Sus scrofa: one gene and its partners. The protein of the gene in region 6 interacts with the protein of the main gene of each other region in a pairwise test. Links are inferred from orthologs where the notes say so. Each region holds a gene or a part of one and is shown on either strand. Other genes may lie near its edges.

The links.
Region 1: the proteins of RALBP1 (region 6) and GSE1 interact in binary tests that used the Homo sapiens proteins (3 or more experiments, as listed by UniProt). The link is inferred for Sus scrofa from reciprocal best matches to the Homo sapiens genes RALBP1 and GSE1.
Region 2: the proteins of RALBP1 (region 6) and REPS1 interact in binary tests that used the Homo sapiens proteins (3 or more experiments, as listed by UniProt). The link is inferred for Sus scrofa from reciprocal best matches to the Homo sapiens genes RALBP1 and REPS1.
Region 3: the proteins of RALBP1 (region 6) and CEP57 interact in binary tests that used the Homo sapiens proteins (3 or more experiments, as listed by UniProt). The two-hybrid records come from large-scale screens. The link is inferred for Sus scrofa from reciprocal best matches to the Homo sapiens genes RALBP1 and CEP57.
Region 4: the proteins of RALBP1 (region 6) and GPS2 interact in binary tests that used the Homo sapiens proteins (3 or more experiments, as listed by UniProt). The two-hybrid records come from large-scale screens. The link is inferred for Sus scrofa from reciprocal best matches to the Homo sapiens genes RALBP1 and GPS2.
Region 5: the proteins of RALBP1 (region 6) and TSFM interact in binary tests that used the Homo sapiens proteins (3 or more experiments, as listed by UniProt). The two-hybrid records come from large-scale screens. The link is inferred for Sus scrofa from reciprocal best matches to the Homo sapiens genes RALBP1 and TSFM.

The regions. Positions count from the first base shown.
Region 1 is NC_010448.4:3,654,765-3,658,812, forward strand, and holds the start of GSE1 (genetic suppressor element 1), read right to left. Parts: upstream 2,801-4,048; 5' UTR 2,529-2,800; coding exon 567-2,528; intron 1-566.
Region 2 is NC_010443.5:25,554,283-25,557,782, reverse strand, and holds part of REPS1 (ralBP1-associated Eps domain-containing protein 1), read right to left. Parts: intron 2,942-3,500; coding exon 2,823-2,941; intron 1,882-2,822; coding exon 1,817-1,881; intron 1-1,816. UniProt on the Homo sapiens protein: May coordinate the cellular actions of activated EGF receptors and Ral-GTPases.
Region 3 is NC_010451.4:27,837,070-27,840,569, reverse strand, and holds part of CEP57 (centrosomal protein of 57 kDa), read right to left. Parts: intron 3,179-3,500; coding exon 3,057-3,178; intron 1-3,056. UniProt on the Homo sapiens protein: Centrosomal protein which may be required for microtubule attachment to centrosomes. May act by forming ring-like structures around microtubules. Mediates nuclear translocation and mitogenic activity of the internalized growth factor FGF2, but that of FGF1.
Region 4 is NC_010454.4:52,664,844-52,668,985, reverse strand, and holds GPS2 (G protein pathway suppressor 2), read left to right. Parts: upstream 1-1,342; 5' UTR 1,343-1,453; exon of another isoform or gene 1,454-1,562; intron 1,563-1,639; 5' UTR 1,640-1,708; coding exon 1,709-1,802; intron 1,803-2,174; coding exon 2,175-2,284; intron 2,285-2,361; coding exon 2,362-2,474; intron 2,475-2,609; coding exon 2,610-2,689; intron 2,690-2,776; coding exon 2,777-2,859; intron 2,860-3,034; coding exon 3,035-3,188; intron 3,189-3,295; coding exon 3,296-3,385; intron 3,386-3,491; coding exon 3,492-3,571; intron 3,572-3,657; coding exon 3,658-3,753; intron 3,754-3,926; coding exon 3,927-4,010; 3' UTR 4,011-4,117; downstream 4,118-4,142. UniProt on the Homo sapiens protein: Key regulator of inflammation, lipid metabolism and mitochondrion homeostasis that acts by inhibiting the activity of the ubiquitin-conjugating enzyme UBE2N/Ubc13, thereby inhibiting 'Lys-63'-linked ubiquitination.
Region 5 is NC_010447.5:23,076,087-23,079,586, reverse strand, and holds part of TSFM (elongation factor Ts, mitochondrial), read right to left. Parts: intron 3,347-3,500; coding exon 3,224-3,346; intron 1-3,223. UniProt on the Homo sapiens protein: Associates with the EF-Tu.GDP complex and induces the exchange of GDP to GTP. It remains bound to the aminoacyl-tRNA.EF-Tu.GTP complex up to the GTP hydrolysis stage on the ribosome.
Region 6 is NC_010448.4:98,567,946-98,571,445, reverse strand, and holds part of RALBP1 (ralA-binding protein 1), read left to right. Parts: intron 1-3,058; coding exon 3,059-3,408; intron 3,409-3,500. UniProt on the Homo sapiens protein: Multifunctional protein that functions as a downstream effector of RALA and RALB. As a GTPase-activating protein/GAP can inactivate CDC42 and RAC1 by stimulating their GTPase activity.

The DNA of each region.
Region 1 (4,048 bases), about 95 Mb from region 6:
CGTCCCCGGGGTCCCAAACCCCCACGTCTGGAAATCTGTCTCCATCTGCTCTTAAGCAACCAGAGAGCCTCAGAGGGAAAGTGTGAACTTGGGTGGAAAATTCTGGAAAAGCTACACTGAGTGGGAGTGAGAGTCGAGAGGAACTTCCACCTCTGATGTGTTTCAAACCGGGTGAGTGCCGAGACCTCTCGGTGACCTGCGTGGCTGGACTAATTACCAATGTTATCAGGCGGATGACAGACGTGCCCCGAACTTCCTCTGTTTGATAGATTCCGCTGCAAACACTCAAGTTCAGGCTCATGCCTGCTGCTTTCAGTACTGCCCTATTCTTCCACGAGGCCACTCCTGGCCTCCCAACTCCTCTGGCCTGTCACACGCTTCCGAGCTCAACCAGGTCAGCGTGCTCACTGAGCCCTGGCCGGGTGACCTGGGGCAGGGGGAGCGCCCCTCCTGCTGGACCACACGGGGCGCAAAACCCCTCTCCTCTCCAGCAGCGGTGCAGAAAACAACATCGCCTCCTTCCCTGCTCGGGTTTCAGAGGAGGACACGAGAACGGAGCTGCTTACCTTCCTCGCCGCCGCCCCTGGGGAGCTCCAGCCCGTGGGTCCCTGGCGGGTGAGCCCTTGGCCAGCACACACCAGGGTCCCGCACTCCGTGCAGGCGCCGATGATCAGCTGTCGCCCATCGTCCACGAGCAGGCTGTGGCTCGCTCGAAGGGTGTACAGAAACAAGGGCAGCCGGGCCACCCGCACGGCCTTGAGCCCGAGACACCGCTTCTTCTCCTGCTGGCAGAAGAAGCACACGAATATCTCCACTTGGTACTGCCGTGACCAGGGGCTGATGGCGTGGGGGGCGCTGCGGGCCTCGTGCTGCAGCCACTGGCCCAGCAGGTCATGGTAACAGAGCACGCAGGTGGCCACCAGGCCGGTGGAGTCGGCAGGCCTGGCGCGCGGGGCCGGCGGGTAGACAGTGAGGAAGGGGAAGAAGGGCTCCTTCTCGCCCAGGCGGCTGGAGGGGTTCACGTTGAGCTGGAACTCCTTGCCGGGGCCCAGCTCGGCCCCGCAGATGTAGCAGACGGAGGCCGGGCCACCCTGGGCCGAGGCGGGCGGCTCGCAGAGCGCAGGGTCCGAGGCTGAGAAGGCCTGGTGGTACCGGCCCAAGAAGCCCTGCACAGAGGTGATGAGCTCCTCGTTCTGGCAGGCCCGGTACAGGGCCCACACGTCCTCCAGGACGCTGAAGCACTTGGGGCAGCTGCGGACCTCACAGCGCTTGTTGGGGCCCTGGGCGTTGGGCGGGCAGGGCAGGAGGCTGAGAAACGGGAAATGCATGGAGCCCCTGGCGTTGCCGTTGAGGGTCCTGCAGGCCACGGCCCGGGCATCCCGCGTACAGTCCTCCCCGCAGAGGTAGCAGGCCTCTGGCAGGGCCCCGGCAGGCGGGCCCTCTTCCCTGGGGAGCCTCCTGCCCTTGGAGGCCATGCCGGGAGCGTGGCTGTTCAGGGGCACCACGTAGAGCCGCTGCAGGACCGGCACGTTGGCCAGTTCGAAGCTTTGCCACTGCTGCATGAGGGAGGAGAAGCAGCAGGGGCACACCAGGGTGCTGCCACCCTCGCTGATGGGCTGCGCCCCCGGGGGCGGGCTGTGCAGCCACAGGAAGGGGAAGAAGGGCGCCTGGGCCAGCTTCTCCTGCTTCTGCACGTGGATCTGGTGCTGCGAGGCCGGGGACAGCGCACACCCACAGATGTAGCAGCAAAGGCCCTCTGGTGGTGCAGCCCGGCTCTCCAGGGGAGCCCGGGGGGCACGGCCCCCGCCAGCGGCGTCCTGGTCTCTGGGGCAGCAGGGGCCTGGGAGAGGCTGCTCCTTGCGGTCCTCCTCCTCGCTGGTGATGTTGACGTCACTGTCCTCAGAAGCGCGCGTCTCCGCCAGCGGTTTGCTCTCGGCAGTCTTGGCGGCCCTGCCCAGAGGGGCTCCTTTCACGCCCTCTGCAGGGGCGCCTTGGACCGGAGGCCTTTGCCAAGGGTCCGGAAGGCCCCTCAGGACGCTGGCCCGGGCCTCTGGGGCCCAGGGCCTCCCAGCGCCCTTGCGCCGGCGCCGGATGCCGGCCCTGGGCTCCCCGTCCACGTGGAGCTTCGAGGGGATCCCGTCGTCCTCCAGGTCCCCCGGCGTGGGGGTCTCCGCGCCCAGTCCCGGAGGGGGTCCCGGCGCCGGCCTCCACTCCGGGCAGCGGCCCCCGCGAGGCCCGGGCCCGGGGGCGGCCCGCGCCGCTGGCGCCCCGTCCTGGCGGGGACTGGCGGCGTCGCGCGCGGCGGGGTCGGGCTCGGAGAAGGGGTCTGTGTCCGACAGCTCCGACAGCTCGGAATCTCGAGGCTCCTCGGGGGCCGCGCGGGGCCCGGGGCCGCCGCCGCCGTCTTCGTCGTCGTCGGCCGCGCCGCCCAGCGCGTAGGCGACGTTCCACTCGCGGGGGGCCCCGGCGCCCCCGCGGCGCCCGCCCGCGCCCGCGTCGCACTGGTGGGGCCGCTTGAGCCAGTACATGCGCTTGTCCACGGGCGTGCGGGCGCGCTCGAAGGCGGCCCACTGCTCGCCCAGGAAGCAGCGGCACACGGCGCACACCAGCACGCAGCCGTCGGCCGGGGACAGCTCGCGCGCGCCGGGCGCCGGCTCCTGCTGCTGCAGGAACGGGAAGAAGGGCTGCGCCGGGGCCCCCGCGCCCGCCGCCGCCGCCGGCTGCTTCACCTGCAGCTTCAGCTCCTTGCCGCGCCCGATGCCGCCGCCGCAGATGAAGCAGGAGAGCGGCGCGCCGCCGCCGCCGCCCGCCGCCCGCTCGCCCACGGCTGCCATGAGCCGCTGCTTGCGGGAGACCGGCGCCGGCCGCCCGCTCATGGCCGCGCCGCGCCGGCCCCCGCGCGCCCCGGGCCGCCCTCACCGCCCGCCGCCGCCGCCGCCGCCGCGCCCAACTTGGAGCATGTGTGCGCGCCGCAAAGTTTGGCGGCGGGCGGCCGGCGCGGGCGCGGGCGCTCGGCCGCTCGCAGGGGCGCCCCCCCCGGCCGGCCGAGCCCCCGGCGGCGCCGCGGCGAGCGCGCCCGGAACGCAGCGGCGGCGGCGGGCCCCGGGCGGCTGGAGCGGCAGCCGCATGTGCGAGCTCCGGCGCCTGCCAAAGCGTTGGGTCATTTAATTGGGGAGGAGGGAGGAGGGGAGGGGAGGGGAGGGGAGGGGAGGGGAAGGGCGGGAGGGCGGGAGCGCGGCGGGCGGGGGACTCCCTCCCTCGCGCTCCCTCCCCTCCCTCCCCTCCGCCTCCCTCCTCCTCCTCCACCACCTCCTCCTCCCTGCCTCCCTCCCAACCCCCCCCCGCCCCCCCCCCGGTCCCAAACTGCGCACAATAGCTCGCCGGCTCCTCTATCTATTTTGTGTCCAGCCGGGAGCCGCGCTCGGTGATTCATTGCCCCAATTAGGGGGCTCTCTCCAGCGCGCCAGGCTCGAGCCGTCTGAAGGGTCTCCTCCGGGACCCGCGAAAACCCATCAGCCGCTAGAGCTGGTCTTTAAGTAAAGGTCAGGCAGGACGCCGGAGGAGCCAGGTAAGGACGCGGCCGGCGTCCCCGGAGAGCCCGCCGAGGAAGGGCAGCTCTCTAGAGGAGGGAGGCTGCCCAGTGAGCTGGGCTGTTGCCGGCCCTCTCCCCATTCCAAAGGGTCTCAGCACCCGCCCCCCACCCCCATCTAAAGGGCCCTTTACAGCCCTGAGGAGTCCTGGATCCGGGGTATCTTTCAGGGCCCAGGGTTCTAATTTTGGTGACAGGGAAGAGGGGCTGTCTCCTGGTGGCCTGAACACCTTAGTGAATGCACCAGCCATCCTGGGGACAGACTCGGCTGCCCCGCCCCTCCCCACTGCTGGCCAGGGACAAAAAGGGTCCCGTGTGTCTAGGCTGTGTGTTCCAGGGCGATGACTCAACAAGTCTGGGCCTTTCAGGGGATTAACTGGTTCCAAGTCACACGTGTAGATCATGTATTTCTTAAACACACAGAGAGAGACCTTAGCATGCGCCAGGTGCAGAGTCTAA
Region 2 (3,500 bases), on a different chromosome or scaffold from region 6:
TGTTAAGGATCTGGTGATGCTGTGAGCTGTGATGTAAGTTGCAGACGTGGCTTGGATCCCGAGTTGCTGTGGCTCTGGGGTAGGCCGATGGCTACAGCTCCGATTCGACCCCTAGCCTGGGAACCTCCATATGCTGCAGGGGCGGGCCTACAAAAGACAAAAAAAAAAAAAAAAAAAAAAAGTAAAGCAGTGCTCTAACTAGTCTCTGACACTCCAGTGTGCTTTCCCTCAGTTCGTCCTCCACTCCTTGGCCAGATCAATTCTTCTAAAACCTTCAATCGAAAAATAAACTTATTGAATATTTACTTTGATCAAACACTACAGATATAATAGTGAACAAGCAAATAAGGTCCATGCCCTAATAAAGCTGAGAGTCTAGTGCCTAAGAGGTAAGTAAACAAAGGAATTAAAATACAGTGTGAGAAGTTCTATGCAAAGGAGTAGAGATGCTACAGAAATAAGTCTGAAGTTTCTTTCTTTCTTTTTTTTTTTTGTCTTTTGTCTTTGTTGTTGTTGTTGTTGTTGCTATTTCTTGGGCCGCTCCCACGGCATATGGAGGTTCCCAGGCTAGGGGTCAATCGGAGCTGTAGCCACCGGCCTACGCCAGAGCCACAGCAATGCGGGATCCGAGCCACGTCTGCAACCTACACCACAGCTCATGGCAACGCCAGATCGTTAATCCACTGAGCAAGGGCAGGGACCGAACCCGCAACCTCATGGTTCCTAGTCGGATTCGTTAACCACTGCGCCACGACGGGAACTCCTGAAGTTTCTTATCCTTGCTTACTCTTTAAAAATTCCCTGTATCTTTTAAAAATTCTTCCTTCTTAGTATAATATAGGAAATGCTCTGTCCTTTCCCACCTCTTCAATTTCCTTTGCCATCTCTCTAGTTGTACTGAACTCAATGGTTTTTCCCTGAAGAAAATGCCAGGCTTACTTACTGTGGATGCCTTTCTGGTGGTAATGCCCTCTCTCCCCAAGAAACAGCATTTTATCTTTCAAGTCTATGCTCAAGTCTAACTACCTTCATTTCCTTAGTCCTTTTCCATGTGATCCCTGACTTTACTAGCTAGGAAAGCTGTGCCAAAGCATTTTACAAATATGTCTACTGCAGCACCTCTATGATTGTTGTTTACAGATTTGTCTTTCCCACTTGAGACAAGAGACCAACTCATTATCCAGTACATGTACTTCTGTTGGCACGTTAGATAAAATAAATACTGGAATATTCAGTATTCAATATTTCAGTATCTTTGATGATTAGGAAACCATCTTTTAACCTGCAAATAACCAATTTCATTGTAAGAATCTAATTCAGAAAAATCAACCAAATTCATCATGTAAAAAGGTCAGTCACATAAAACTAAGCTAGAATGCAGACTCTATCTCAGAACATACTAGTTTTATGCAGACGAAAATAACGTCAACCAAGGAGGGGGGCAGAAGTCATCTAACACTTCCTTCATCTAACACATTCAGGGGGATGCAGCGAGGTCACTCTGAGTCCTCTGCTAGATCCAGGACATACATGGACTTCTCCTATCTCTCAATCCATTGTGCTTCGCACTAAAGCCTCCTTTGTCAAGACGTTATCATTTGGTTCACTTTTAAGCTTCTTCAAAAAATAAATCATTAGAATTCTTATCTTCTAAAATAAGACCTGGCTTCCCTGAATTAAATGTACATTAAGAATAATAATTATGAAATCCTCCACCTTCAAAATAATTCTAGAATTGAATCGAATATCTAACAGACAAATTGATAGAGGGGACTATAACAACTGATGTTTAATAATGAATACCTACGAGAATTACCTGTGAGGGCTGTGGTCTGGGAGGCACTGCAGGAGGTTGGGCAACAACTCCAGCCTGTTGCTGTCCTGTGTGAACACATAGTCTTCTTTTTAGTAAATATATACTTACTTTCCTAGTAGAACAGACAGGCTGAACGTGATCAAATGATAAAGATTTCTAAGACCTCAGTTCTTCTCTTGTTCTATCGCCTGAGGCATTCTTGACTTCTTGCTCCCTGTTCCCACAACGCTATTCATTTTTTGGTTTGCTTCCCATATTTCTGACTGCTCTTTAGCTATCAAACACGAAGACTTCCAAGTTTTCTCTTTTCATTTAATGCTCCAGTCTATCATTTCTATGTAAACGATTCTCAAATAATACATCAATCTTTCTTGGCCCACAAGTCCAATGGCCTGTTGATTATTTCCCTTTCTTAGACATTCCAAACTCATAACATCCAAAACAGAACACTGTCACCCTCTGTTCTTCTAAAATTTCTAGTGGCATCTTTCAGGGTCTCATCTTTATCATTTGAACTCAAAAATATTTTATTTTATTTATTTATTTTTTGTCTTTCTGCTATTGCTTGGGCCGCTCCCGCGGCATATGGAGGTTCCCAGGCTAGGGGTCTCACTGGAGCTGTAGCCACTGGCCTACGCCAGAGCCACAGCAACGTGGGATCCAAGCCGTGTCTGCCACCTACACCACAGCTCACGGCAACACCGGATCCTTAACCCACTGAGCAAGGCCAGGGATCGAACCCGCAACCTCATGGTTCCTAGTCGGATTTGTTAACCACTGCGCCACGATGGGAACTCCAAACTCAAACATATTTTAGCTAAGTCATTAAAGAGAAGAAATTCCCTCTCATCTGCTATTTTTTCAATTCAAAATTTTTCTTCAATCAAAAAAATAAGATATATAAAGAGAAAATAAAGTACAATACAGTGTACCTTTTTAACTTTATATTAAAAAACTTGGTATCTTTAATTTAATATAGCATATATTATGGTTCTCTAACCCCTACCTGTGGTGACTGAAAAGGTCCGATTCATATCTAAAGATGATGATCTAGAATGAGAGGGCTGAGGCCTTGGAGGGGGAGGTGGTGGTGCAGTGTTATCAGGCGACGTTCCTGACTGAGACCTGCAAAATTCCCCATTACAATGGTTGTGCTATTGGTATTGGAACTTTTCTTTTCAAGATTTCAAACTTAGCTAAGCAGCAAAGGATTTTATTGGTGTGACATTTTCAACAGATGATATACAGTATCATAATAAACCAAAGAGTACTGCCTATGACGTGCATTCAACTAGTGTTTAATATGGCAAATAAACTTTATAAAGTATAATTATACCTATAACATTTCAAAAAAATAAGTTATTAACATGAATTGAAGATAAACTTCTAATGTAGTGTAATGTTTTCACATTCAGTTAAAAGTAATATTAGCCCAAAAAACTATTTTCATAAAAGAGAAACTCTACTTTAGATATGGTTAGCTTTCAACTTAAAGTCTGATAAGCAGAGGTAGAATCCAGCTCAACTATGTGAAGTGCCCATTCCTGTGTTACCAAAGGCCACCTCATTTTATAGGTGATTACACTCATGCTCAATTCTCTCTCAAGATTCACTAATTGGCCAGTGAAGTCTTCCATATTCTGAAAAGAGTCTTAAAGATTCTGGAAGTCTGATCCTCATAGGA
Region 3 (3,500 bases), on a different chromosome or scaffold from region 6:
AATTCTTTTTTTTTTTTTTTTTTTTTGTCATTTCTTGGGCCGCTCCCACAGCATATGGAGGTTCCCAGGCTAGGGGTCCAATTGGAGCCATAGCCGTTGGCCTACGCCAGAGCCATAGCAATGCGGGATCTGAGCCGCGTTTGCGACCTACACCACAGCTCACGGCAACGCCAGATCGTAACCCACTGAGCAAGGGCAGGGATTGAACCCGCAACCTCATGGTTCCTAATTGGATTTGTTACCTACTGTGCCACGACAAGAATTCCCCTTCCTCTGAATTCTATGCAAAGCATCCACCATATTTTTTTTTAGGTTTAGTCAATGATTTGAAAAGACTGGAACCTATCAGATTTAAGGACTGATAGTCACAGAATATACCATTAAACTAGGATAAGAAGAGGAAATATGTGAAATTGGGGTCTACTGGTAAAAAGCCAAAACACTAAGCATGTGAGCTCATATACAGCAAGTCTATAGCAAGTGGTATCCTACTAACAGAAATCTGAATATGACAAGTAATATAAAGCAATAAATTTCTCAGGAATTTATGTGAACTATTAATTCCCTATCACCTTAGTAGATAGATACGGCCCTTAAAATAATACATTAAGCTAAAAATTGGCAAAAATCATATTTTACTTTCAGTATTCTTATTAAACAGGCTATTCAAAATAGAATGATGAAAACAGGGCTTAGTTCAAAGACATATATATGTTTAATAGATGTGTTAGTCAAGACATCTCACTGTTGTCTCATGGATGCTTTCTAACTTGAGAACTGGAGTATCCCCATGAAGACAGCTGCTATATTACTGTACATCATGTTTTACCATTTCCAATCATGTGGCAGACTGAGCTGACCATCTGCTTTCCCATCCCATCACATAAAATATTAGACAAAACACAGAAATAATAATTACACAGGAAATCTGAAGACAAGAAAGGGAAACCTGCAGATGAAAAAAGATAAAGTTCCCCTCATGGTGCAGCAGAAACGAATCAGACTAGGAACCATGAGGTTGCGGGTTCGATTCCTGGCCTTGCTCAGTGGGTTCAGGATCCGGTGTTGCTGTGAGCTGTGGTGTTGGTCGCAGACGTGGCTTAGTTCTGGTGTGGCTGTGGTGTAGGCTGGCGGCTACAGCTCTGATTGGACCCCTAAGCCTGGGAACCTCCATGTGCCACGGGTATGGCCCTCAAAAAGACAAAAAATAAATAAATAAAGAATTCAAAAGCAACTGAACAAATACTGAAGCCAAATACTAGATGAGGCAAAACTAGCCTTGCTGTATAAGGCATACCAGGACTATGACATAAATCTCACACAAGGTACCATCTGCCCAATTCATGAATCTCAAGCCAAAAGGCATCATAAATGCAGATCAGAAGCAGGGAAACCCAGAAATCCTCAGCAAAGGCAAATCTACCATCACTTTATAAGGCTGCCTACTCAACTTAGAAGAATGGAATTCCCAATATAAATAATTCCAAAGAATATGGGCTCATCATAAAAAATATGTAAACATACATATACAGTTCTCATAAGAAAAATCAGTTAATTTAAAGACGACTGGGATTTCTTTTGGGTGGGGGGAGGCCCTGCATTCATGGCACGAGGAAGTTCCTGAGCCAGGGATCAAACCTGAGCCTCAGCAGTGACAACAAGCCATAGCAGTAACAATGCTGCATCCTTAACTGCTGGGCCACTGGGGAACTCCAAGACTGGGAATTTTTATAGTGTTCAAAGAGATAAAAGGAGGAAATAAAAACCAAAGTTTAATGGTACATTAAAATAACAACAAAAATAGATGGGCTGAAGAGGACCCAACTGGAAACAAAAAAATATGATCACAAATAAATTCAGTGGCATAGTAGAGACCTGTAGCACACATGAGAATTAATTATTGAAATATCTACTTAAAATGTTCTTGTGCTATCATTCACACTGTTCTTTTAGGTCTAACATCTCCAGCTATGATGCAAAGTTGACTGAGGTGGAAAGCATTTAATTTCTTTCATACTGCATGGTATCCAGCGAAATGTTAAGCATATAAACAGTCAACTTTTGCATCATAAAGTTAAGATGGCTAGAAACTGGGATATTCATAAGGAATTCAAATTCTAGGTTCCTAATAGGAAAAGGAGATATGCTTTTAAAAATATATTTGAGACTGATATTGCAGGTTAAATAAAAATACCTCTGGTGTGAAAACAGCAAAATATTTTTGTTAAAATAACAATTGTAGAGAGTTTTTTCAAAGTATGAATCACCCTGAAATGTGCTGAGTCTAACAAACTCAAGGGGTAGAGAGGTACATAACATGCTTATTTACACTTTTAATAATGTATGAAAGAATTTATCATGACTTGAAAACACAACTAAATGTATAGTTTAGTAAAAACTCTAAGTAAAACTCTATCAAATACAGCAATAACAATGAAGACAAAACAAATTTTTGGACACCATAACTGATCCCGAGTAATTTCAGTCCTGGGCTGTCAACACTGTTCACAAGCAGAAGCTATCAAAGCTGAGTGCAGAGAATACGGCAGTACGTGTGAGGAGCTCCCCCAAAGGAAACTCCTCTTCATAGTTTTGCTTAAAGAAAAAAATCACATTTTTCTCAAAGCTTCCACTAGCAGTTTTTCAAAATGAACTATTGGTACTATTATCTTTTAAGATAGAAGAATTGTTTATGACAGCAGTATTACTCCTCACTGAGAAAAAAATGTCTTTACATTAATTTTCTCTTTAATTTCTCTTTTTTTTTTGTCTGTCTTTTTAGGGCCGTACTGGTGGCATATGGAGGTTCCCAGGTTAGGGGTTGAATTCGGAGCTGTAGCTGCCAGCCCACACCACAGCCACAGCAACTCGGGATCCGAGCCGCGTCTTCGACCTACACCACAGCTCATGGCAACGCCGGATCCTTAACCCACTAAGCGAGGCCAGGGATTGAACCTGCAGCCTCATGGTGACTAATCAGGTTCGTTAACCACTGAGCCACGACAGGAACTCCTCTCTTTAATTGTTCTTGAGACTGACTCTGTGAAGTGACATACCTGTTTCTCTAATACAGACGTCCTCTCCATTTCTGCATGCTTTATCATATTACGCATGTATTCCAATTGTTTTTCTAAAAGATTACATTTATTTTCTGCAGCTAACAACTGAGATGTCAGTTCTAAAAAGAATACATAAGAAAAGCAGAAATTAGTTTGCTCAGAGAACAGTTTTAGTTTTAACAAGCTGTTTAACATAAATCTACAGCATATATAACAAATATTTTCCAGGCGCTCTAGAAGCCCTTTTCAGATGCTCTAAGCCTGTTTCTGTATGTTAGTCCAATCTGCCCTGAATTCAGTCAGTCTAACACAGGACATTAGCACTTGTTCCTCAAAACGCACCTGAGCAAAATGTAATTTTATCATGACCCATAAAATTAACCTCCAGATACTAAGCACTAGAAAACCCTATGTGGAATTTCTTTCAGAATAATTTTAAAT
Region 4 (4,142 bases), on a different chromosome or scaffold from region 6:
GGTGGGATTTGGAGTTCCCGTCGTGACTCAGTGGTTAATGAATCCGACTAGGAACCGTGAGGTTTCGGGTTCCATCCCTGGCCTTGCTCAGTGGGTTAAGGATCCGGCGTTGCCGTGAGCTGTGGTGTAGGTTGCAGATGTGGCTCGGATCCCACTTGCTGTGGCTCTGGCGTAGGCCGGTGGCTACAGCTCTAATTAGACCCCTAGCCTGGGAATCTCCTTATGCCATGGGAACGGGCCTAAAAAAAGAAGAAGGTGGGATTTGAGCAAAGGCCTGGAGAGGGGAGGGGAGGGAGCGAGGGGAGCGGGCATGGGAGGAAGACCCTTGGGAGGAAAGGGCGGAGCCAAGTCCCAGTAAGGAGGGGCTGATGCCTGGCAACAGCAAGGCCAGCTGCTCAGGCTCGCGGTCACCGTCAGGGCGGTGGTTGCAGCCAGCAAGAGCGAGGGGTACTGGGAGCAGAGGCCTCACTGTCCCGTTTCTGCTTCTTGCCTGCCAGATTCCGGGACCCCAAATCCCAGCGGACGCACCAGGCCCAGGTGGCGTTCCAGGTGTGCGTGCGCCCTGGCTCCTACACCCCCGGGCCCCCTTCTGCTGCCCTCAGAGAGCCTCCCGACCCTCACTTCAGCCCAGCTGAACTCGAGTGGGTGACCAAGGAGAAGGGGGCCACGCTCCTCTATGCCCTGCTGGTACGGGTGGAATGAGGGGTGACACCGCACTACGACAAGCACAGCAGGGCCTTGGGCCCGTGGACTCTGAGTGACGACTGCCTCCACCTCATTCCAGTGACGCGCGGCATGCACGGTGCTCAGCCTGGCAGATGCACAGGAGCATGTAGGCGGGCTCGCAGAGGAGCGCCCGGGGCCGGGACTGGACAGCCCCTCGAGGCGAGGGCGGCGAGGGGTCCGGCCGCCGGCCCTGGGGAACCCTCTCCATGCACTGATCTGGGGAGCGCGCCTCCCCGCCACTCCTCCCCCTACACTTAATTTATTTCCGTTTCTGTTCCTGGTTACTGTGAAGGCCAGAGGCGCCTCCCCGCGCCCCACACGAAGCTGCTTTTCCGGGCCGGGCGGGAGTGGGGAAGGCGGGCGCGGGTCGGGGCCTCTGTACAGTTGTTACTGACTCTGATTTCTAAGGAGCCAATAAACGCCGTCTCAGAGCAGCCGCCTTGGCCTCTCGCGCGCGCGCCTCTCGGTCCCCCCCGCCCCGACCCGGGAGGAGACCCGGCCCCGCCACGTCAGGGGCTCCGCCCTCGGGGTCGACGCCGGGCGGGGCGCAGCGGAGGCGTTTGGACGCCGCGGGCACCCGTCGCCCGCGCTTCCGCCTTCCCGCCCCGCCCCGCCGGCCCGCGAGCGCCGCGACAGCCTCGACTCCGGAAGGATTCGGCCCAGCGGCCGGATGTGACGCCACGGCCCAGGCGCTCGGGAGGCCGCGGAGAAAGCGACGAGAAGACGGGTAGGGAGGGGCCGGCGCCCGGGTAGCGGGCAGGGAGCGGGAGCGCCGAGGCCGAGACCCCCGCCCGCGCTCGCGGAGGAGCCGCGCTGTTAGGCCGGCCCGGCGGCAGGCACGTGACCGGGGCGGCGGGCGAGTGGCTTCCGCCCCGGCCTGGTCCGCTCCCTCTGAGCGCCCGCCTCCCCGCAGGCCCGGTCTGAGGTCTGGCAGCCAGTGACAGAGCCGGGCGTCCACGGCCCGAGCGCCCCCAGCAGCACCATGCCTGCGCTCCTGGAGCGCCCCAAGCTTTCCAACGCCATGGCCAGGGCGTTGCACCGGCACATCATGATGGAGCGGGAGCGCAAGCGGCAGGGTGAGCTGGGGCCAGAGCGGGAGGACGCACGGCCCGGGGCGCGCTGCTCTCCCGGGGCTGACCCCGACCTACGGGCAGACCCTGCGCGGCGGCCACAGCTAGAGGAGGGACCGATAGCCCCGACGTGGCGGGAGTCTGAGGCCAGATCTAAACTCCAGAACCGTGAGCTGGCAAGGACCTTGGAGAGCACCTAACAAACTTCCCTGTCCCCAGTGTCCTCTTGCAGTGGTGGGCAAACCTGTTTCTTTTAGAGGGAAAGAGTTCGTACCAAGTGTAGTGGGATACCAGTTTTTGCTGGCTTTCAATCGCTAACATTCTAATCTTTTAACCACTCTGCCACTTCCCCATTCTGCCTGACTCTGACTCTTCCAGAGGAAGAAGAGGTGGACAAGATGATGGAACAAAAGATGAAGGAAGAGCAGGAGAGAAGGAAAAAAAAGGAAATGGAAGAGAGAATGTCACTAGAGGAGACCAAGGAACAAGTAAGCAGTCCCTTGATCTCTCCCCAGCCCTTTCTGCCCTTGGCTCTCTTGCTTTCATCCCTCTCCTTCCTTCCCAGATCCTGAAGTTGCAGGAGAAGCTTTCGGCCCTCCAGGAAGAGAAGCACCAGCTTTTCCTGCAGCTCAAGAAAGTTTTACATGAGGAAGAAAAACGGAGGCGGAAGGAGCAGAGGTGAGATTGGGCAGCTAAAAATAAAATTGGGGCCCAAAGTCTAACTGGGATCAGGTAACAAGAGATCAAGTTTTTTGCGGGAGCGGAGAGGGGAAAAGGCTTGCCTTTGATCTGATGTGCCTGCCTCTTGTTCAGTGACCTGACCACTCTGACATCGGCAGCATACCAGCAAGGCCTGACTGTTCACACAGGAACTCACCTCCTCAGCATGCAGGGTGAGGATTAAAGAAACCACTTGTCAGATGGGCCTTCCTGGGGGTTGCAGCCTCTTCTTGCAGCATCACAAGCCCGTCTCCCTCTAGGGAGCCCCGGAGGACACAATCGGCCAGGCACCCTCATGGCAGCTGACAGAGCCAAACAGATGTTCGGCCCCCAAGTGCTTACAGTAAGAGCAGGAGGACTGGGTATCTAGGCTGTCATTTACTCCCGCTACTTCCAGCCGGCCTCGCATCCTTACCCAACCAGCATTCAAGTCATGAGTGTGTTGGGGAAATGGGGCTTTCAGTCACTCAAGTTTTTGCTTCATGGAGTTTACAGTGGTTCTCGTCCTCCCTCCTTAGAACCGACACTACGTGGGCTCAGCAGCTGCTTTCGCAGGGACCCCGGAGCATGGGCAGTTCCAAGGCAGCCCCGGCGGCGCCTATGGGACTGCTCAGCCCCCACCTCACTATGGACCCACCCAGCCTGCCTATAGTCCTAGTCAGCAGCTCAGAGGTGAGCCTTGGGCAAAGGGGAGGAGGGGCATTCCTCAAGGCTCTAAGGGAGGAGTGTTGTGAACAGGCTACCAGGAGGTCCTAATGGCTGTCTCCTGCCTTCCTCAGCACCTTCGGCATTTCCTGCAGTGCAGTACCTGTCTCAGCCACAGCCACAGCCCTATGCTGTGCACAGCCACTTTCAGCCCACCCAGACAGGTGATGGTAGACAGACACCACGCAGGGGCCCAGTTCCAGCGGTCCTCCTCCCTTCCTCTTCGCCTCCTTTCTCTACTCACCTCACACACCCTTCCTCCCCACCTAGGCTTCCTCCAGCCCGGTGGCGCCCTGTCCTTACAAAAGCAGATGGAACACGCTAACCAACAAACTGGCTTCTCTGACTCAGTGAGTAAAATCTTGGGAAGTCAGGGGAAGGGCTGCCCACACTAAGGGGAGCCCCAGGCTGCCTCAGCTGACTTTGTTCTCTGCAGTCCTCCCTACGCCCCATGCATCCCCAAGCTCTGCATCCAGCCCCTGGACTGCTTGCCTCACCCCAGCTCCCTGTGCAGATGCAACCAGCAGGAAAGGTAAGCCCACCAGAATGCCTACATCACCAAGTTGAAAAAAGGACTGGGTAGGACAGGTGGTCCCTGCCCCCCTTTTTCCCTCCTCCTCTGCCATGGCTGTCAGTCCCCTGCGGGAGTAGAAGGAAGGGGAAGGGCGCGCACTGACAAAGCCCTCCTCTCATTACTGCTGCCAGTCGGGCTTTGCAACCACCAGCCAGCCTGGCCCTCGGCTCCCCTTCATCCAGCACAGCCAGAACCCGCGATTCTACCACAAGTGACCATCAGAGTCTATCAACCTCGCTCCCAGCCCCTGCCCCCTACTGTGGGGGAGGATCCCTGGTGTGCCTCAGTCCCAGGCCAATAAAATCTACCTGCCACTGCCCCCGATGCTGCTACTGTCTGTGTTACCT
Region 5 (3,500 bases), on a different chromosome or scaffold from region 6:
AAGGTGAACAAAATTGACAAACCCCTGGCCAGACTCACTAAAAAGAGGAGAGAAAGAACCCAAATAACCAAAATTAGAAATGAAAAAGGAGAAATCACAACGGATACAGCAGAAATACAAAAAACCATAAGAGAATACTATGAACAACTGTATGGCAACAAGTTTGACAATCTGGAAGAAATGGACAATTTTCTAGAATCTTACAGCCTGCCAAAACTGAATCAAGCAGAAACAGACCAGCTGAACAGACCGATCACTAGAAATGAAATTGAAGAGGTCATAAAATCACTCCCTACAAATAAAAGTCCAGGACCAGATGGCTTCACAGGTGAATTTTATCAAACATATAAAGAGGAATTGGTGCCCATCCTCCTTAAACTCTTTCAAAAGGTAGAAGAAGAAGGAATACTCCCAAAGACATTCTATGAGGCCACCATCACCCTCATTCCAAAACCAGACAGAGATACCACCAAAAAAGAAAACTATCGGCCAATACCATTGATGAATATAGATGCAAAAATTCTCAACAAAATCTTAGCCAACCGAATCCAACAACATACCAAAAAAATTATACACCATGACCAGGTTGGGTTCATCCCAGGTTCACAAGGATGGTTCAACATACACAAATCAATCAGCATCATACACCACATTAACAAAAAAAAAGTCAAAAATCATATGATCATCTCAATAGATGCAGAAAAAGCATTTGACAAAGTTCAACATCCATTCATGATCAAGACCCTCGCCAAAGTGGGTATAGAGGGAACATTCCTGAATATAATCAAAGCCATTTATGATAAACCCACAGCAAATGTAATACTCAATGGGGAAAAACTGAAAGCCTTCTCACTCAAATCTGGAACAAGACAGGGATGCCCACTCTCACCACTGCTCTTCAACATCGTTTTGGAAGTCTTAGCCACAGCAATTAGACAAACAAAAGAAATAAAAGGCATCCATATAGGAAGAGAAGAGATCAAACTGTCACTGTATGCAGATGACATGATACTATACCTAGAAAACCCTAAGGACTCAACCCCAAAACTCCTTGAACTGATTAATAAATTCAGCAAAGTGACAGGATATAAGATTAACATTCAGAAGTCAGTTGCATTTCTGTATACCAGCAATGAAACATTAGAAAAGGAATACAAAAATACGATACTTTTTAAAATTGTACCTCACAAAATCAAATACCTCGGAATACACCTGACCAAAGAGGTAAAGGACCTATATGCCGAGAACTATAAAACTTTAATCAAAGAAATCAAAGAAGATGTAAAGAAATGGAAAGATAATTCCATGTTCCTGGATTGGGAAAATTAATATTGTAAAAATGGCCATACTACCCAAAGCAATATACAGATTCAATGCAATCCCTATCAAATTACCCATGACATTTTTCACAGAACTAGAACAAACAATCCAAACATTTATATGGAACCACAAAAGACCCAGAATCGCCAAAGCAATCCTGAGAAACAAAAACCAAGCAGGAGGCATAACTCTCCCAGACTTCAAGAAATACTACAAAGCCACAGTCATCAAAACAGTGTGGTACTGGTATCAAAACAGACAGACAGACCAATGGAACAGAATAGAGAATCCGGAAATAAACCCTGACACCTATGGTCAATTAATCTTTGACAAGGGAGGCAAGAACATAAAATGGGAAAAGGAAAGTCTATTCAGCAAGCATTGCTGGGAAACCTGGACAGCTGCATGCAAAGCAATGAAACTAGAACACACCCTCACACCATGCACAAAAATAAACTCCAAGTGGCTGAAAGACTTAAATATAAGACAGGACGCCATCAAACTCCTAGAAGAAAACATAGGCAAAACACTCTCTGACATCAACATCATGAGTATTTTCTCAGGTCAGTCTCCCAAAGCAATAGAAATTAGAGCAAAAATAAACCCATGGGACCTCATCAAACTGAAAAGCTTTTGCACAGCAAAGGAAACCCAAAAGAAAACAAAAAGACAACTTACAGAATGGGAGAAAATAGTTTCAAATGATGCAACTGACAAGGGCTTAATCTCTAGAATATATAAGCAACTTATACAACTCAACAGCAAAAAAACCAATCAATCAATGGAAAAATGGGCAAAAGACCTGAATAGACATTTCTCCAAAGAAGATATACAGATGGCCAACAAACACATGAAAAAATGCTCAACATCGCTGGTTATAAGAGAAATGCAAATCAAAACTACCATGAGATACCACCTCACACCAGTCAGAATGGCCATCATTCATAAGTCCACAAATAACAAGTGCTGGAGGGGGTGTGGAGAAAAGGGAACCATCCTGCACTGCTGGTGGGAATGTAAACTGGTACAGCCACTATGGAGAAGAGTTTGGAGATACCTTAGAAATCTATACATAGAACTTCCATATGACTCTGCAATCCCACTCTTGGGCATCTATCCAGACAAAGCTCTACTTAAAAGAGACACATGCACCCGCATGTTCATTGCAGCACTATTCACAATAGCCAGGACATGGAAACAATCCAAATGTCCATCGACAGATGATTGGATTCGGAAGATGTGGTATATATACACAATGGAATACTACTCAGCCATAAAAAAAGGATGACACAATGCCATTTGCAGCAACATGGATGGAACTAGAGAATCTCATCCTGAGTGAAATGAGCCAGAAAGACAAAGACAAATACCATATGATATCACTTCTAACTGGAATCTAATATCCAGCACAAATGAACATCTCCTCAGAAAAGAAAATCATGGACTTGGAGAAGAGACTTGTGGCTGCCTGATGGGAGGGGGAGGGAGTGGGAGGGATCGGGAGCTTGGGCTTATCAGACACAACTTAGAATAGATTTACAAGGAGATCCTGCTGAATAGCATTGAGAACTATGTTTAGATACTCATGTTGCAACAGAAGAAAGGGTGGGGGAAAAACTGTAATTGCAATGTATACATGTAAGGATAACCTGACCCCCTTGCTGTACAGTGGGAAAATAAAAAAAAAAAAAAAAAAAAAAATGTACTGTAACAAAAACTATATAAGCACTATAACAAAAAATTTCACATGAAGCAAGATAAGGGGATAAAACAATAGAAAGGTACTCCTCTCCAGAGAGGTAACATTTAAGTAGAGACATGAAATAAGAAAGTAAGACATGACGATGTCTGAAAAACTGGAATAGGAACAAATCCAGCATGTTGGAGACAACTCCAAACTCACTTTACTATACGTGGAGAGTGGATCCTTTAGGCTCTGACAGTGCAACAGGGTTCCCAGGGCTACTTGCTGGACCAATTGTTGAAATTTTAAGTTTCTGGAAACAAAATCTGTCTCACAGTTTACCTGTGGGAAGAAATTCATATTGCTGTGTAAGCTGTTTAATCACCATTTCCAAAAATGTCTTAAACCAAAGTATTGACAGAACAAGCAGCAGACTCAACAAAACAGAAATAAATGTCTCTAGGATTCTAAAGCTACAGTCCCTCTGCTAACGTGA
Region 6 (3,500 bases):
TTTGCCCTCTTTCGGAGCCAGAGTTGTGAAACTCCTCTCTCCATGTGTCAGAGCATTCAAACTGAGCTGCTCCCCTGTTGGTTGGCTCCTTGGGGACTGAGCTTCTGCTTTGATCAATTTTGTATTTATTTTTGAAGCTCTGGCAGTGTGCTGTGTTCAGCCCTCTGTGGACTACAGAGTTATGGCTGTGACTTTTCTTTTTGAAGGCTGATAATACTGGTTTCTGCTAGAGAACTTTGGTTCTCATTTATTCACATGTAAGTTCCAGTTGTAAAACTAACAAATTTTGCTTATTGTCTTTCCGTACCTGGGACGCTGTATTTGAAGCGTCCAGTTTTTGCAGGGAAAACATGTTGATAACAAACCAAATTCTTACTCTAAATTGTTCACTGTGCAATCTTCTGAACAGGCATTGCTGGGGGAAAATTTGAAATCTGTGAAATATATATGCGAGAGAGGGAGGAGGTCTTTGTCAAGAATTTCTTTTCTTTTCCGTTTTAGGCTGCACCCATGGAATGTGGAAGTTTCCGGGCTGGGAGTCGAATCAGAACTGCAGCTGCTGACCTATACCACAGCCACAGCAATGCCAGATCTGAGCCACGTGGGCAACCTACACCACAGCTCACAGCAGTGCCGGGTCCTTAACCCACTGAGAGAGGCCAAGGATTGAACCCGGCTCCTCATGGATACTGGTTGGATTCTTAACCCACCGAGCCACAACAGGAACTCCAAGAATTTCAGTTAAAGTTAGGAGTCACCATGTGTTACTTATGAAAGTAGGAAAATAGGAATTAGTTTCTAACTTTCCTGCCTCAAGATAAAGATTGTGAAAAAAATAAGATTCATATTGTTGGAATTCCTCTTGTGGCACAGTGGGATAAGAATCTGACTGCAGTGGCTTGGGTTGCCGCGCAGATGAGAGTTCAGTCTCTGGCCTGGGGATTTCCATATGCCGAGGATGCCTCCATTAAAAAAAAGAAAAGATTCATATTGTTATTTTCATACTCAGAGTTGCTGATTTTATTTCACCAGTGCTGGATAAGTTACTGATGTATTGTGGTCCCATTGAAAGGTTTACACATAAGATAAGAAATTTCAGAGCCCAGAGGTAAGCATAGTTGATTATAAAATTCTCTTCAAATTAAATGACACTGGAGTGTCATTTACATTATAGTCTGTCAGCCTTAATTTGTGGCTTGTTTCCAGTAATTGGCCTGTTTTTGATTTTTTGCTGTTGTTTTTTATTTTTGTTTTGTCATTTTAGGGCCACACCCGTGGCATATGGAGGTTCCCAGGCTAGGGGTCCAATCCGAGCTGTAGCCTCCGGCCTACACCACGGCCACAGTAATGCCAGATCCAAGCTGCATCTTCGACCTACACCACAGCTCACGGCAACTCCGGATCCTTAACCCACTGAGCAGGCCAGGGATAGAACCTGAGTCCTCATGGACCCTAGTCAGATTCATCAACTCTGAGCCACAACAGGGAACTCCTTTTTTTTTTTTTTTAATTGACGCGTAGTTGATGTATAGTGTCATGTGTTTCAGGAGTACAACATGCTGATTCACTATTTTTTTATTTTTTTTATTTTTAATTTTTTTTAATTTTATTTTTTGTCTTTTTGCTATTTCTTTGGGCCGCTCCTGCGGCATATGGAGTTTCCCAGGCTAGGGGTTGAATCGGAGCTGTAGCCCCCGGCCTACGCCAGAGCCACAGCAACGCGGGATCTGAGCCCCATCTGCGACCTACACCACAGCTCACGGCAACGCCGGATCATTAACCCACTGAGCAAGGGCAGGGATCGAACCCGCAACCTCATGGTTCCTAGTCGAATTCGTTAACCACTATGCCGCGACGGGAACTCCTGATTCACTATTTTTAAATGTTGTGTTCCATTTATAGTTATTATAAAATGTTGGCTATATTCCTTTTGCTGTACAGTACAGTCCTTGTAGCTTATTTATTTTATGCGTGGTAGTTTGTACTTCTTAATCCCACCTGTATCTTGCCCCTCCCACCCCCTTTCCCCACTGGTACCACTGATTTGTTTTCTATATCTGTGAGTCTGTTTCTTTTTGTTATATTCACTACTTTGTTTTATCTTTTTAGATTCCACATATAAAGTATTTGTCTTCCTCTGACTTCATTTAGCATAACAACCTCTATCTAGGTCCATCTGTGCTATTACAAATGGTAGAATTTCATCCTTTTTTATAGCTGACCAGTAAATCTTGGCCTAAAGTTTTAAGTGTTAAAAACCACAGAAAGCTACTTTGTACTCATGAGCCATCACTGTCACTGAGTTAGGTCACTTAAGTGCAGATTGGGCTAAAGACTTAATTAAATAGTGTCTGAAAAACATTGGTGTATGTATGTTTCTTTCTGTCTACTAAGAAAAGCAAAACAATTCAATTTTAGTAACCCACATTTTCCTTTTTTTTTTGCTGGTTCCTAGGTTCAGATTAAGAAAACATGCAAAGAATTTAAACTTAAAAATCAGATGGGTATTATTTAATGAGGACCAACAAGAGTTTATATAGATAGTGAACTCACCTTTTGCATTTATTGAACAACTTTACCTTCTAAAAAAGTCATTACCAACAAGTTTTTGGAACAGGCTTACATGTACCAAGTTGCATTTTATGGTGTTAGTCTTGTGACTAGTTCGAAAAAGCAGTTGGCCCCTTGTGTAGAGCAAGGCTTATGCTTGGAGCATAGTTTAGTTTTTGCCAGAATTTGTACCTATCTTTAAGTTAAAAATTTTTTTTTTCCTGAATTGATTGGCATATTTGGTTGCTTTGATTTTTTTTTTCTGAATATTGAGTTTTTTCATTATCATTTCACTTTTGGTTAAAGTCAACCTCCTAGTATAGTCTTTTGTCTTCTCTATGGAGGAACTCTGTGCCGGTAAAAAGCCCCATTAGTGGTTTGTTACTGTCTTGGGGCCTCTTCTCAGACCTCCCTGGGGGGTGGGTGCTGTGGCAAAGGTGGCTGTATGTTTGATTTTTTTTTTCTCCTCTTGACACTTTCCTTCTCATCTGAATTGGAATGTTCTCAGGAATTAAATCCAAGGTGGATGAGCTGAAAGCAGCCTATGACAGAGAGGAGTCTCCCAACCTGGAGGAGTATGAGCCCAACACTGTGGCCAGTTTGCTGAAGCAGTACCTTCGGGACCTGCCTGAAAACCTGCTCACCAAGGAGCTCACGCCCCGCTTTGAGGAGGCCTGTGGGCGGAGCTCGGAGGGTGAGAAGGTACAGGAGCTCCAGCGTCTTTTGTGGGAGCTGCCCGAGTGTAACCAGCTCCTCATCTCCTGGCTCATCGTGCACATGGACCATGTGATCTCCAAGGAGCTGGAAACAAAAATGAACATCCAGAACATTTCTATAGTGCTCAGCCCAACTGTCCAGGTACACGGCCTCTCTGCACTCAAGCTGTGCACACGGGCCCTCTGGGCCAGCCCTGGGGTTTCGGGGACGCGTCCTGTTGCTGAGCCACACAG